Linked DNA regions of Stegostoma tigrinum. The protein of the gene in region 1 purifies or fractionates together with the protein of each later gene. This does not show direct contact. Links are inferred from orthologs where the notes say so. Each region holds a gene or a part of one and is shown on either strand. Other genes may lie near its edges.

The links. Proteins that work in one complex are often made in the same cells at the same time.
Region 2: the proteins of adrm1 (region 1) and proteasomal ATPase-associated factor 1-like purify together in Homo sapiens (affinity purification with mass spectrometry; 3 studies listed by BioGRID and IntAct, counting the BioPlex papers as one, with this or other methods). This does not show direct contact. The link is inferred for Stegostoma tigrinum from reciprocal best matches to the Homo sapiens genes ADRM1 and PAAF1.

Annotation. Positions count from the first base shown.
Region 1 is NC_081372.1:18,362,037-18,369,553, forward strand, and holds the start of adrm1 (proteasomal ubiquitin receptor ADRM1), read left to right. Parts: upstream 1-4,481; 5' UTR 4,482-4,615; coding exon 4,616-4,828; intron 4,829-7,517. UniProt on the Homo sapiens protein: Component of the 26S proteasome, a multiprotein complex involved in the ATP-dependent degradation of ubiquitinated proteins.
Region 2 is NC_081359.1:91,970,709-91,978,792, forward strand, and holds the start of proteasomal ATPase-associated factor 1-like, read left to right. Parts: upstream 1-5,026; 5' UTR 5,027-5,062; coding exon 5,063-5,112; intron 5,113-5,214; coding exon 5,215-5,255; intron 5,256-8,084. UniProt on the Homo sapiens protein: Inhibits proteasome 26S assembly and proteolytic activity by impairing the association of the 19S regulatory complex with the 20S core.

The DNA of each region.
Region 1 (7,517 bases):
TGGTGAAGATTTTGCTTCTAAATTTTCTGTTGAATTTCTTGCAGACTATCTTGTTTGATGGTTTCTAGTAATAGTCTTTCCCACAAGAGAAAACATTGTATTCAGTCTTATCAAAATCTTTCACACCTTATTTCACATTAATTTAGTATCCTTTGACATCTTTGCCTAACAAAAAATCAGTCTCAGATTTGAAAATTTGACATTGGATGCTGGTCAATCTCTTTTAGTGAACAGAGTTCCAGATTTACACTAATCTTTGTGTGAAAGTGTGCTTCTTACTTTCACTCTTAAATGATCTTTTTTGAGCTTAAGTCCTCTTGCTCTCCATTCTTCATCCAAAGAAAAAAAGTCTCTCCATTGTTTTAAACACCTCATTTAGATTATTCCTCAAGATTATAAATAATACTTATTATTATGAAATCTGTCCTGATAATTTAACCCTTTAAGATGCAATGTCATTCCGGTGACACTCTGCTATACCGTTCCTGTGTCTTCCTTCCTGAATGCGACACATAGTTCTGTATAAATGACTGAAGACTCATTTTCACACTTTGGAATGCCAGTCTCCTTCAGATAAGGGTTGAGAGTCCATTGGTATTTTGTGGTCATAGTTTGTACTTGCACACAATTTACATGATTTATGCACATGAGACTTTGCCTCTCCCTCGCTCCTGGTCTCTTGCTGGTAAAAAAAATTATTTGATTTGTTTTCTTCAGATTCAAAGTAAACGACCTCAGACTTATAGCCGTATAGTGTATACACATTTCCGATCTGTGGTTTCTATATCAGTCTAGTGAACCAAACACCTTACTTATTCGTTTGGCTCGAATATTGTATTGATTAAATGCAATAAATATCACGAACTGAACAGCCAGGAGAAATCTTAGCATCATGACTTTTTTGCACTTTGAACGCAGGTGAAGTCTCATGACTATATTTAGAACATGATGATCGTAAAATGTTTACTACAAATGCAGGATGATCAATTACAATGTGAGATGCCTACCTCACTACAAGTCAAAATGCAAGTGGCTATGGCCAGAAAGGATGCAAATAAAGTACAGTACATGCCTAAAGAAATAGAATAAAATCTGTTATATTTATGAGAAACATTAGCTTTATACTTGAATGCTATGTACTGCCTTGGTCTCCATATTATGAAAATGACATTGAAGCATTGCAGAAAGAGTAGCAAATAATTATGTAGTGTTAATGGAATTACATAGATGCAACTGTCAGGAAAGATTGAACAATCTGTGGATCTTTTCTCTGGAAAAATAAAATACAAAGCATTCTTATTAGGAAAATGAAACACTTGCATTCCTGTAGTACATGATTTTGAGATGACCCAAAGCATTTTGTTACCAATTAGATACTTTATGAAGTGCAATTATTGTTATAACATGGGAGAAATGGCAACAAATTTGCATGCAATAAATTCCAAAATTAGCAGTGTGATATTGAGCGACAAAAACCAGAAATTGCTGGAAAAACTCAGCAGGACTGGCAGCATCTGTGGAGAAAAATCAGAGTTAATGTTTCGGGTCCAGTGATCCTTCATCAGAGCTCAGTTAATGAAACGATAACTCTGATTTCACTCCACAGATGCTGCCAGACCTGCTGAGCTTTCCCAGCAATTTCTGTTTTGTCTCTGATTTACAGCATCTGCAGTTATTGTGTGATAATGAGGAATGGATTTGTTTTTAGAGGCATTTATTGAGAAAGAAACATTGACCAAGACACCGTGGAGTTCTCCCATGCTCTTTGAAACACTGCCACTGAATTTTTATAACTTCCTGAGAGAACATATGGGACCTTTGTGTAAAGGAGGGCAGTACATCTCACAGTGTAGCACTCATTGGGTACTGCATTGGACTGTCAGCCTAAGTATTGCTGCAATCTCTAGGAGAACAAAATCTAGGCTAAGCACTCCAGTGGAGTTGTACTGAATTATGTCTTTAAACTTGGGAATAGGTTTCACAAGGTGAATTTGAAGAAGCTGTTTCAAATTGTGTGGAACCCAGAACAAGAGGACGTAACAGTATAAAGTGGCCACCTATTGATCACTTAAAGAGTTTAGGGTGAATTATGTTACACAGAGCATAGGGAGAAAATGAAGGTCAGCTACATGGAATCATTAAAATATAAAAAATTGTTCCGTTTAAGATAAAGCTTTGTATGTGAATAAGGATAAAGAAAATCATGGTTTGTGTGATATAAAGGAAAGTGGTCTTTGGACAAGGTCATATGTTAGCTCTCATATTTTCCAATGAGAGTTTGAGTCACTGTCCTGAAAGAACTAAAGGTTTTTGTCAGTGTAACGAAGAGGTGACATTTTAGGTCAGACAATATATGTTAGGTGTAAGGTAAGACCTTTAGTTCTCTCAGGACGGTGACTTCAAAGAAATTCGGGCAATTACATATTCATATTAATCAATTAAAACCTTCGAATTGATTAAAGATTTAACAGCATCTTAGGTTTGTTTAGTACATCCTCATCAATGGTGTGATCCTTTCATCTTTTACTTATAAATTCCGTGCCTGATACTACCTCTCTCACTAACACCTGAAGAAGGAGTAAGAACTCCAAAAACTTACGTTTTTGAATAAACCTGTTGGACTATAACCTGGTGTCGTATGATCACTGAGTAACAAAGAGAAGGACAGGCTTGTGGTCCACCCCCGCTCCTTCATGATGTTTCCCAGACTTTATCTTCCTTCTTGAAGCTTTTCAGAATGGACGTTGTATTCAAGTAACATTTGCCAGCTGCTCCATGTTAACTGCCAATTAATTGGATATTTGCCTGTCACTTCAGGAGCTTTTAAGCTCCTCATTACAGGAAATAAAAAGAATGTTGATTTTTGAACATTTCAAACCAAGTTATGTGTTACACCTAATATTAGAATTGTTTAGCCAACAAGTTGTGTCTTAATGTGTTGATTCAATCCACATTCCAGTGTCTGCTAATGTCTGTACCTTTGATTCATTTCTCCCTGGAATGATATGGGGAGGGGGTGGAGGGGTGGTGCTGCTTTACTGTCTGAAACTTGTTTGAATCTTTTCTTCTAGATAACAAAGTGTTGAGCTGGATGAACACAGCTGGTCTTGCAGCATCTTAGGAGCTTGTAATGCTTTTAGTGATTTTTTTTTGTAGATAGGTGAATCTATAATTGCTTTGGAATCTATATGATTATTTGAGGAATCTTAACTAAAACCTACTCTTAGTATTATCACAGAATGATTTCATAATTCAAGAGAAACAACTAATTAGTGTGAAACGTTCTATGTCTTGTGCATGAGCAACTGCAGCTGCATATTCTATCCGAGTCCAGTAATCATGAGTCTACAGAGCTACTATTGTTCCACTTGCAAAGACCACATTAAGCAAATATTTTCCCAAGACCTCCAACTACTGTCAGCCATGTTCTGCTGCATTAGCCATGGACAGCCATCAGCCATTTTGTGCTGCTTAGTCATGGGCATCCCTAATATCATATAATCAAAAAGTGTGCACTGTGTTAAAGGAGGCAATTCAACATCCATTATCTGCTTACCATCTTGCTGGAAGAGTAGTTCCTAAGCCCTTCCCCTGTAGATCTGCAAATTACTTTAAATCAACCAATTATCCAATTCTCTTTTGAATACCTCAGTTGAATCCTCCAACATTGCTGTGTAGATGTGCTGGGCAGAGCCGATGTGGTGTATAAACACTGGCAAGGACTAGTTTTTGTAGTGTGTTTTTGTCTGGTTCCTGTGCCTTAAGGCTAGAATATGGCTGTGAAGGTAGTAGGAACTGCAGATGCTGGAGAATCTGAGATAACTACGTGTAGAGCTGGATGAACACGGCAGGCCAAGCAGCATCAGAGGAGCAGGAAGGCTGACATTTTGGGCCTAGACCCTTCTTCAGAAATTTGCTCCTCTGATGCTGCTTGGCCTGCTGTGTTTATCCATCTCCACACCTTTTTATCTTAGAATATGGCTTTGTTTGATTTGATTTATTACCGTCACGTGCACCAAAGTACAATGAAAAGTGTCGTCTTATGTGCTATACAGGCAGATCGTACTATATCGTTGATTACAAAGTGTGGAGCTGAATGAACGCAGTAGGCTAAGCAGCTCCTGAGATGCTGCTTGGCCCGCTGTGTTCATCCAGCTCCACACTTTGTTGTCTTGGATTCTCCAACATCTGCAGTTCCCATTATCTCCAGGACTATATCGTCGTTGAGACTGAAGCAGCTGATCTGCTGGCGAATGAAATATCCAGCCCTTGAGTACAGTGGAGCTGGGATCTTCTATACATGTCAGAGAAGTGCAATACCGCTCTACAGCTTTAGGAGGCAGCACATAGCGCCCAATGACACAGCACTTCCGCTCAGCTGCGCCTCAACCAAACATGACAAAGGATGGCTTACGTCATGATGATTGACGGTTGGGTTAACCATTCAGGAGCCAGAATAAGCTAGGCGGGGACTGAGTAAATCAATGGGGATTGAGGAGGGTGGTTTCAGGTTAGGTTGTGGCGGCCGTTACATGGTGCTGACTTTCGGTGGACGTTAAATTCAAGAAAGGAAGGGAAAAAGAGGCAGAAGCGGTGTCTGGTCTAATTTTCCGTCATGTCGGCCTCAGGAGCGTTGTTCCCCAGCCTGGTAGCTGGGAGCCGTGGCTCTTCCAGTAAATACCTGGTGGAGTTCCGAGCCGGCAAGATGTCGCTGAAAGGCTCGACAGTGACTCCGGACAAGCGCAAGGGGCAGGTTTATATCCAGCAGACTGATGACTCTCTCATTCACTTCTGCTGGAAGGACCGCACCGCCGGCACCGTGGAGGATGTAAGGAAACAAGCCCGTCCTCACACTCCTCCCCCAAAGCCGGGATTGGGAAGGGGTAGTCTAGTGTACTGAAGGGGTTACGGTGGGGAGATGAGGTGCTGTGGGGGATGGGGGGGTGCGTGAATGCGTTGGGAAGGAGGCTGGAGGCTGGGTAAGGAAGTGGGGGGGGGGGGGGGGGGGGCGCGAGAGAAGGGCTTAAATCACAAATTATTTTGAGTAGGAATGGCTTTATGTTTGAGGATGAAGTAAGGAGTTATGGGGTTGTAGGGTTGAGTGTAGGGGGACATTTTTTTGGGTGGTGTCTTTTGTTTGGAGGTCGTATGTGAAGGAGTTGGTTAATTTTTCTTAATGTGATAGTTGGTGTATGGATTTAGAGCGGATGGGGAGTTGAGAGTTCAGAGGTTGGTGAATTGGCTATTTATGTGATAGGGTGGTTGTAGAAAGGGTGTTGAGTTGGCTAGTTTGTGTCGTGCAGGCTGGGTGAAGACAGTGGTGGGGACCGGGAGTTGGAGGGGAGGGGGGGACACTGTTGGTGTGAGAATGGAATTTGCAGGTGATGGTGTAGTAGTTGTTTCAGTTGGAACGGAGTTTCTAACCAAAGTTTTGTCTAAACAATAACCGAAGAATAGCGGATGCTGTACATCAGGAACAAAAACAAGTTGCTGGAAAAGACCAGGTCTGGCAGCATCTGTGAAGAAAAGAACAGAGTTCATGCTTTAGGTCTGGTGACACTTCCTCAGAACGTTCTGAGCTGTGCAGTAGTTTGAAACTTCATGGGTACTGGTTGCCCCCTTGAAATTACTGTGTGTGTATGTGGCCTTTTTCTTTAAACGAAAGGGGAACAGGGTTAGATTGTATGCTGTTTGTGATTGCTAGGGGTGGAGACATTGCTTATGACAAATATCCTTGTTTTTGTTACTTATGGAAAGTTGCCAATTTTGCCAGGTACAAAACAAAGTCATGGGACAGGATGTTCACAGTTTCACATTTCATAGAGTCATAATGTCAGAGATATATAACATGAAAACAGACCCTTCAGTCCAACTTGTCCATGCTGACCAGATATCCTGTATAAATCTACTCGCATGTGCCACTATTTGGATCATATCCCTCTAAGTCTTTCCTTTCCATATACCCATTCAGTTGCCTTTTTAAAAGTTGTATTAGTACCAGCCTCCTCCATTTTGGCAGCTTGTTCCAAGCATGCACTGTTCTCTGTGGAAAAAGTTACCTCTTAGATCCCTTTTATATCTTGCCCCCTCACCTTAAACCTAGTTTTGAGCTCCCCCACCCTAGGGCAATGACCGTGTCTATTTACCCTATCCATGCCCGTTGTGATTTTATAAGCCTGTGTAAGGTCACTCCTCGGCATTCGACGCTTCAGGGAATATAGCCCCCTGCCTATTCAGCCTCTCCCTTTTGCTCAAACCCTCCAACTCTGGCAAAATCCTTGTAAATCTTTTCTAAGTTTCACAATATCCTTCTTATTAGGAGGGAGACCAGAACTGCGTGCAATAATGCAAAAGTGGCTGAACGAACTTGTTCTGTTGCTCATAAATTCATTGAACAATTTAGTTGATCAGACTTAATGCATCATGTAATGTGTCAAGCTGCAGAGGTCAGATGGTCTTGATGTCTGGGTTAATTAGCTATTGGAAATTCTTGTCGCAAATGCTGCCTGTGCTGAGGAGACCAAATTTGTTTTTAGCCATCATGCACTTTAAAGTTTAAGGGCCTGAAATGTTAATTGCATTTCTCATTTAAAGTTGTGACCTGATATATTGTGAATTTTGAGCATTTCATGTTTTTCTTTTGTCTTAGCATATGAACATGAGTTAGACCCAAGTGCAGGCCATTCAGTCCCTCAGGCCTGCCCTGCCGTCCGAAAGATCTCAGCTGATTTGGTCAGAATCTCAAATTTGACATTCCTGCCTACCCTTATTTATGACTTTGCTTGACAAGAGTCTGTCAACCTCTGCTTTTAAAATAGTCAAGGACTTTGCTTCCACTATCCTTTCAGGAAGTGATGCAAAGGCGCTCAAGCTTGAGTGAAAAGAATTCTCGTCTCGTCTAAAACCATAAGACAAAGCACCAGAAGTAGGGCGTAAGTAGCCCATCGAATCTATTCTGCCATTCAGTGAGATCATGGCTGAGCTGACAATCCTCAACTTTGTTTTCCCACCTTTTCCTATACCCCTCAATTTCCTTACTGATTATAAATCTATTTTACCTTAGAATAGACTTTGGTCCAGCCTTGACTGCCCTCTGTAATTTTAAAAAATCCACAGATTTGCTACCCTCAAAGGAACTTCCTTATCTGCCTTAAATGTGCAACCTCTGAGATTATGGTCCTGGATCTATTCTCTCCTGTGAAGTAAAACAACTTTTCCACATTTACCCTTTCAAATCCCCTAGAAAATTTGTACATTTCAATAAGGTTGCCTATCATTCTTCTGATTTTTCAATGAGTATAGAAGCACATTACCAGGAATAGCAGGACTCTCCTTTTTTTAAAAAAAAGTAAACCTGTTATAAACATATCAGACAATAAGGCTGCTGTCTCATTAGAGAGAGATGATGGTTATTTAACCTGAAGGTTACTATACTTAAGGCGAAGAGTGGTTGAGAATCTGAATCCTTCATGGTAACCTTAGCCAGTGTGGGAGTTGAATCCATGCTGTTGGCATCA
Region 2 (8,084 bases), on another chromosome or scaffold:
ACAGCTCCATGGCAACTTCCCCTGCAACTGGCGAAGATGCACCACCTGCCCATTTGACTCCTCCCTCCCCACTATCAAAGGGCCCAAACATACCTTCCAGGTGAAGCAATACTTGCCTGCAATTCCCAGAATTTAGTCTATTGCATTCAATGCTCACAATGCAGTCTCCTCCACATCAGGGAATCAAAGTGTAGACTGGGTGATTGCTTTGCAGGCCATCTACGTTCTGTTCGCAAAAATGAGATGTTGCCTGCCACTTTAACATGCCACCCTTTTCTCTCGCCAATATCTCTTTCTCTGGCTTGCTGCAGTGTTCTAATGCTCAATGCAAACTGGAAGAACAACACCCCATTTTCTGCTTTGAGACCCTGCAGCCCTCCAAACTCGATATGGCGTTCAATAATTTTAGGGCCTAAACACTCCCATGTCCCAGCCGCCTACCCCACACACTGAGCCTTGTTATCATATAACCTGCCATTGCACACTACCTATTGTTAGTCACTAATAGTCCCCATTAACAACTATTCACCCCCTTAGCCAGATCGTTATCAACTTCTTTGTCCATCCAACTGCTTTTCTCTCTCTTCTGGCTTTATCCTATTGTTTACTCCCTACCCTATCCTATTCCCCATACATATTTTCTGCATATAAAGCAATGTTTTCCCAGCTACCATGAGTTCTGAGGAAGGGTCACTGGACCCGAAATGTTAACTCTGATTTTTTCTTCACAGATGCTGCCAGACTTGCTGAGCTTTTCCAACAACTTCTGTTTTTGTTCCAAGGTCTCTGAGACTACACACTGAGGGTCCTGCCTGAGACAACCCCATAGAGATGCAATGGGAAAAGATCATTGTCTAAGGCTTTGCAGTCAGAGTGTATGAGAGGCTGGAACACCTCAATCTGTGTGCCTTACAAAGAATGTACATTGTAAATCAACAGTATTAAATGTATTAAGGTACCTCAGTGAAACATGGTGTTGAGAGGAAAATTTAATATCCATTGCTCTTTGATGATTTCCGATTTGAAATATTTTTGCCTTTGGACTGTGAACCTGATGTGGAATGTATTATGCAAATATTAAGAGTATTACTTCTGAATTTAATCTCACCATGTAACAAATACTCTGCTATTCCATTCTTCCTAACAAAGTGGATGATCTCAAATTCATCCACATTACATTTCCAGCTACCACATTCTTGACCACTCACCCACCCTGTCTAAATCCCTTTGAAGCCTCTATCCATCCTCCTGACAATTCAGATACCCATCAACATATTGTGTCATCTCTAAACCTAGCAATATTCCAATTAGACTCCTTGTTCAAATCATTGATACAGAATGTGAACATTTGGAGCCCAAACAGTGATCCTTACAGTATCAAATTAACACAACATGCAGACCTGGGAATGATTTGTAGCTTGTAGCTATTCCCACAGGAAATGTCTTGCAATTGTATACCACATGCATCTGTCTTACACCCATCCTCACCCTCGTCTCTAGTTTATCTGCAACCACTCTATTACATCCATCATTAAACTATGCCTAAGTGGACCACTCTTTCTACTGCCACCACTTGGCTCATAAAAGAGCTCTCCATAGCTTCTCAGCTCTGAACAAATGGTCGACTTATCATTATTTCCCCTACTGTATGTAACATGTTAGAGTCCTTTTCTGCTCTTGCAATTTTAATTACCACTTCATCAGATTATCACAAATTATGAGTTCCACTCTATGTGGTACGGCTGAACTATTGAAAACTGCTTTCCTCTACTGACTTGAAATGGCTATTCAGACTGTTAGTGCTCACCGTGATGATACGTAGAATCAAAATTCTTACAGTGTGGAAAGAGGCCATTCAACCCATCAAGTCTGCACCAACTATCTGAGAGTGTTCTACCTATACCGATCCCCCACCCAATCCCCAATATGCTGCATTTACCATGGCTAATCCACCTAACCTGCATATCTTTGGATAGTGGGAGGAATCCAGAGGAACCCCATTCAGACACAGGGAGAACATGCAAATTCCACAGGAATAGCAACCCGGGTCACTGGCGCTGTGAGGCAGCAGTGCTAACCACTGTGTCGCCCTAAGACTTTATCCCTTACAGCGCTATGAAGGTTTTCATAGTGTTTATGTATGGCTTTTTCACCTGTGTACTACAGTATGTTAGAAGTGAACAATTAAGCAGCCACCGAAGGAATAAAATGCTCAAGATGAGAAAAAAAAATACTCTGTTTTCCTCTTACACTGTTTAAGCATGTAAAGCACAAAAGGTTGAAACATAGGTATCTACACCAGATGAATATCATGTATCAACCTTCAGCTATGCAGCAACTTTAATGTAATAAAACAAGAGAAGGCACTTCACTTGAGTATTGTATAAAAAGAAAGACACCAAACCCATTGAGGATTTCTGGTCAGATGACCAAAGTTTGGGCAAAATAGTGGGTTTTAATGAGTGACAGAATGGATGAAGGTGAGGTGAAACGACGAGAAAAGAGTATTTCAGAGCTTAAGGGCTAGACAGTTGAAGGCACGGATATGAATGATGAAACAATTAAAATTGAGGAAGCACAAGAGGCTAAAATTAGAGAAACATTACATATTTAAGGGTTGTGGGTTAGAGAAGATTACAGAGGTAGGGACAGGCAAAGTCCTGGAGGAATTTGAAAATAAGGAAGAGAAAATTCTCAACAACTATATCTAAAACCCTTTATCTATTAACTAAACAGTAATTAATCATATCTGTATTTTCAGTTAATCATTTGCAGCTCATGGATAAAATTTTGCACATTGCATTAGAAAAATAAATGAAATATAATTTTGAAATAATGACATCCCCACACAGGACATGTGTGTTTCTTACTGAAATTAAATGCTTTCGTCTTTCTACTAACCAAACATGTATAGTGAAATTATACAGTGCAAAATTGTCTAGTTCAAAAAAGTTCAGCTGTACGTTCCTGAGGACTAATTGAATGATTCACTAAAGTTTCTTCCTGGGCAAAAGAAAAGCATATGTTTTACATGTGAAAATGTGAGAGTTGGAAAAATTGCTTTTCTGGCTTGACTGAATTAGCATCAGCTGGTATGGAAGTTATATTTTCCTGTTTATCAATATGTCAAGGAAGGTACACCAGCTGCTGTACTTTCCCTGATTAACAAATGCTAATACAGTGCAGCTTTAAGGTCCTTGGTATCCTTGCAATAAGGAAAAAAACATGTTAAAAATAATCTGGCATCATTTTCTATCCAAGCATGGCAAAGATACCACTTCAGCATCTATGCAGACCCCATTGGACTACTTTATTCAGGTTGTACCATTTCAGGAGCATCAATCCTAGAAAAGCCTGTCATGTTCCAGGATGTTGGTTTCAACGGATCAATGATCCAATCCAAATGTGTACTTGACCAGTTATTTAATTATGCTGTAAGAAATGTACATTTAATGTTACAACTCTCACAGAACTTTTCAAAGTCTTTGACAAGGGTAACAAATCGGACGTTTTACAGTTTGGGAAAATTCCCAAGTTAAAATTAAAGCTATCTCTACTGACCAGGAGTTAAATTGGAGAATGGAAGGCTGGAGACAGATGGTCTGTGGATCCTATCCAGGTGATTTGATATGCAAATTGCTCATGATAGAGAGACTGGCCAAGATTTTCTGAGCCCATTGAAAACACGGCATGTCCATTTGTGTCCTGTCAGCAGCTAATAGTATTTTCCCTGGAGGACAGATTCAGAATTGATATGCAAAACAAATTTTAAAAAGCAATCTTTCCACCAGTTAAAAAGAGGGAAATATTGGTTTCACTACAGTTGTAAGCTTACTGCATCAAACAGGTCCAGAGCTCAGAGAATGAGGAGAAGTGAGAGCAAATAAGAGGGGTTAAAACAGCAGGCGAATATATTCAATGGCTGTAATTCATGTCAGCACAGTCAAAGAGCTGATTGGCATTTATTAGCCGTTGATACTTTTCATTAGGAAAGTGATTGTAAGCTTTTGTAAACCTCCACAGTCCATCTGACAATCTCACGGCTCAAGATTCCCACTTGTTAGATTAATTTTGTTCTTAAAGATGCTGATTGTTTTGTGCTCCTGAGATGCTGCTTGGCCTGCTGTGTTCATCCAGCTTCACACTTTATTATCTTGGATTGTTTTGCTTTATATGTCTAACATTCACTGGATTTTCTTTTGTTTCAGTGAAAATATTGCTGTCTCTGAGTCAAAGGGTTGTGAGATCAAACTTCACTCCAGAGCTGAAGAATTTGATGTAGATCAAGATAAATACAGTACTTAGGGGCTGCTGTATCATCAACCTTTGACATTTACCCTGTCACTAAGCCAATTTTGAATCGAATTTGCCAAGTCGACCTGGATTCCTGGGTTTTTGCCCTCTTGACCATTCTTCCATACGAGCCCTTGTCAAAAGACTTACCTAAGTCCACGTAAACTACATCCGCTGCACTTCGCTTATCTGCACCTCTTGTCTCTTTCTTGAAGAAGTCAATTAAATCTCTGAAAAGTTAAGGGGATGTCTTACTTCTATTTGTCCAATTGTCATGCCAAACACTGATCTGGAGGTTGAAGAAAGTCACCAAGGATGTAGTTGAAGAGCTCATTAGCGATCTTTTGAATCTCACCGCAAGACGGTGATGCTTGGGAAGAGAGGTTGAGTCCTTGCAATCATTGCTGGAGTGAAAGGACAATGGAGAAAAGGCCAGAAGGCATAGAAGTGGGCGAGATAACCCGGATGAGTTAGGACAGTTGCAGGTTAGCAATAAAATAGTATCTTCTGTCAAGAATTGAAAAATAATTAATTGTGAGTAGGCCGTTTAATACAATGATGTTTTTTCAAAAAGAAACTGTTTAAATGAACTGAAAAATCTTAAAGAAAAACGAAAGTTAGAAGTGATCATGGCACACGTAAACCCAATCAGCAAACTGACAACAGACCTTCCCACGGAGTGTCTGTACAAGGGGCGGGGGTGGGTGGAAGAGCGGGCTCTTTGCGACGGTGGCGGCGGCTGCTTGGTTTACGGCAGCGTGGCGTCGCCATGGCAGGAGGCAGGATCTTCGTCCAGAGCGACTGGGTCCGAGCTCTGCGGTAACTGTGTCTGAGGGGGCTAGGAATTTCTAACAAACCTTTTCTTGTGGTTCCTTTTCACTCCTGTGCGGGTATTAATGACGTCTCGGTTTTATCCCGCAGGGAGAATGAGAGGGAAGCGTGGGTTTCCTGTAAAAGACCCGGTAAGGATCCTGAGGGAGAGTTTGATTTGGTTAAAGAGGGTCATCATCATCAACAAGATTCTAATAATAAAGTCAGGCCTGACTGCTTGGATATGTTTATTGCCTGATTCGCATCAGTTTGCACCGTCCCCTTTCTGACAATATGGTTTACCTGCTAGAGAACTGTTTTATTTTAAAAACAGGCCTCTGTATTTCTGTTCTTTCCCAATCTATGAATCATTGCCCCCCCTCCCCACCGTTTTTAGTCCTGAAGACTTTCATTGCCAGTGCTAGGGTATGAAATTACATATTGCTGCTTAGATAGTTAAATGCAGAAAAATCAGCATAAGTACTTGGCCCAGCCCCCTCAATCCTTATCCTGCTCAATAAGCCCTTCACATCTGACATCTGCCCAGAATGCAGAATTGTGGCGAAGCAGAAGGTCCATATTCATTCCATCATATTATTATACAGTGCAAAAGTAGCCCATTGAGTCTATACTGCCAAAAATATGCAGAGAATCCCACTTTCCCACACTGTGCCCATTAGTCTTGAATGTTATGACATTTCAATTGCTCATCCAAGTCCTTGTTAAGTTGTTGTGAGGTTTCCTGCCTCAGCTCCCCTTCCAGATAGTGTATTTCAGATCCCCACCATTCTCTGGGTGAAAAAGTTTTCCTTAAATCTCTGAATCTCCTGCCTTGCACTTTAAAGATATGTCCCTTTGTTATTGATCTTTTGACTAGGGGAAACAGCTGCTTTCTTTCACGCTGTCTGTGCCCCTCAATCTTCTAGATTTTACCAGGAAACCCCTCTCAACCTTCTCTGCAGCAAAGAAAACAACATGAGCTTAGCCAGCCTCTCTTCACAGCTGAAATACTCCTTACCAAGCAACATTGTCTGTATAGCTTTTGCCCTATTACCCTGAATATTATTTAGATTTAAGTGATCATCTCATGTCATCTTGAAAGCCTAAATTGAACTTGTTTCCATAATACTTTGAGGTAGTGTGTTCCAGATCCTGGCTACTTGCTGAATTTATCTGACACCACAGTTGCTTCTCTTGCAAATTATCTTATATCTGTGGCCTCTCGTTCTTGATTCTTTTGGGGGAGGGAACCATTTCTCTCTATCTACTCTACCCAGTTCTCTCAGAAGTTTTTCATTTCTTATCAAGTCTCTGCTTTGCCTTCTCCTCTCCAGAAACAAACACAAATTATTTAAATATATGTTATCTTTTGCCCTCAGCCTGTCTATCCAACCTATTCTTAAATGTTGCTTCAGATACAAACTTTAGTGCATTTTTTGGATTTCACAGTTGTGTGTTTAAACAAAAACTGTTCTGTTCTTTTTCCTGACCTTGAATTAATTTTGTTTCTGCTGACTTGTAACTGGAAACCCGTTAAGTATATTTTCTGTTTACTCCAGCAATGTTTTCAGATTTGCTTAGAACCCACCTTCACAAAATTCAGTGAACATTCACTCCTGAAAGCAGGAGTGGCTAGTCAGCAATTGGGCATGGGGGCCATGAAGCTTTTATTACTCCCTGATCTGGAACACTAAATTTCGCTTTAATATCTATCCTGTTTTGAAGGAACACTTTACTTCCGCAAAACTAGATAGTGGTGAAACAAATAAGCAAAGACCAAGTCGAGACAAGCCAATCATATTGAGGTGGCCAGTATGATTTTTGATGACTGCTTCCATTTCACTCATCAACTTTTGTTCAACCTCAATATTTGACTTGTACACCCCTGGAAGTCTCAAAACAGCTTTTTCCAGACATTTTGACAAACACCAGTTCCTGGCCCTACCTGCTGAACTGCTTGTTAGTCCAGTATTGACTTCCACTCTGACCTATGCTATCTGCCACACCATAATCAACCAAGTTGAGCTCAACAAGTGCTACCCACTAGCAAAAACTATGCTCGCTATTGTGTAGAAGATGACCATTTCTTGAAAGTGTAAAGTCATTTGTTGTGCTTTGGAAAATGGCTCTGGACCTTATTGCAGATGTGCATGGCTTTCCACACTGATTAGATTAGATTCCCTACAGTGTGGAAACAGGCCCTTCGGCCCAACAAGTCCACACCGCCCCTTGCAGCATCCCACCCAGGCCCATCCCCCTATAACCCACACACCTCTGAACACTACGGGCAATTTAGCATGACCAATCCACCTAGCCTGCACATCTTTGGACTGTGGGAGGAAACCGGAGCACCCGGAGAAAACCCACACAGACACGGGGAGAATGTGCAAACTCCACACAGACAGTTACCCGAGGCTGGAATCGAACCCGGGTCCCTGGTGCTATGAGGCTGCAGTGCTAATCACTGAGCCACCATACCACCATGGTCTGGATAAATTTTGTTTTTCTCTTGGGGCATATAAGAATGAGGAGTAGGAGCTTTTTCTCCTCCCGTCCTGTGGCAGATATGCAACATTTTCTGAGGTTTGCCTTTAAAGAGCACGAGCCTTCATTTTGGCCTCCCTGTTAGACTCTGTCCAAGTTCAGATTATAAACTTGTGACCATCATAAGGAATTTATTATCAACCATCAATGCCACATGCCCATTTCACCTAAGCTGGACTCTGCTGTTGGAGCATTTCAGTTCAAGACACTTATTCTTAAAGTAACTCAATGTTCAGCACTTTGTTATCCTATTTATTGCTCATGATGGTCTAAATGATCTCGCATAGAACCTGTCCAGTTACATTATAATGTTAAAATAGATATTCTGTGTCTCACAGACAGTTGGGAGGGCATCAGCACAGTTTTGTTCAGGACCTTTTGAATTGTTCGTAGACTGATCCAAAATGCAAGGTGTTGAAGCTATAATTTGCCAAGAA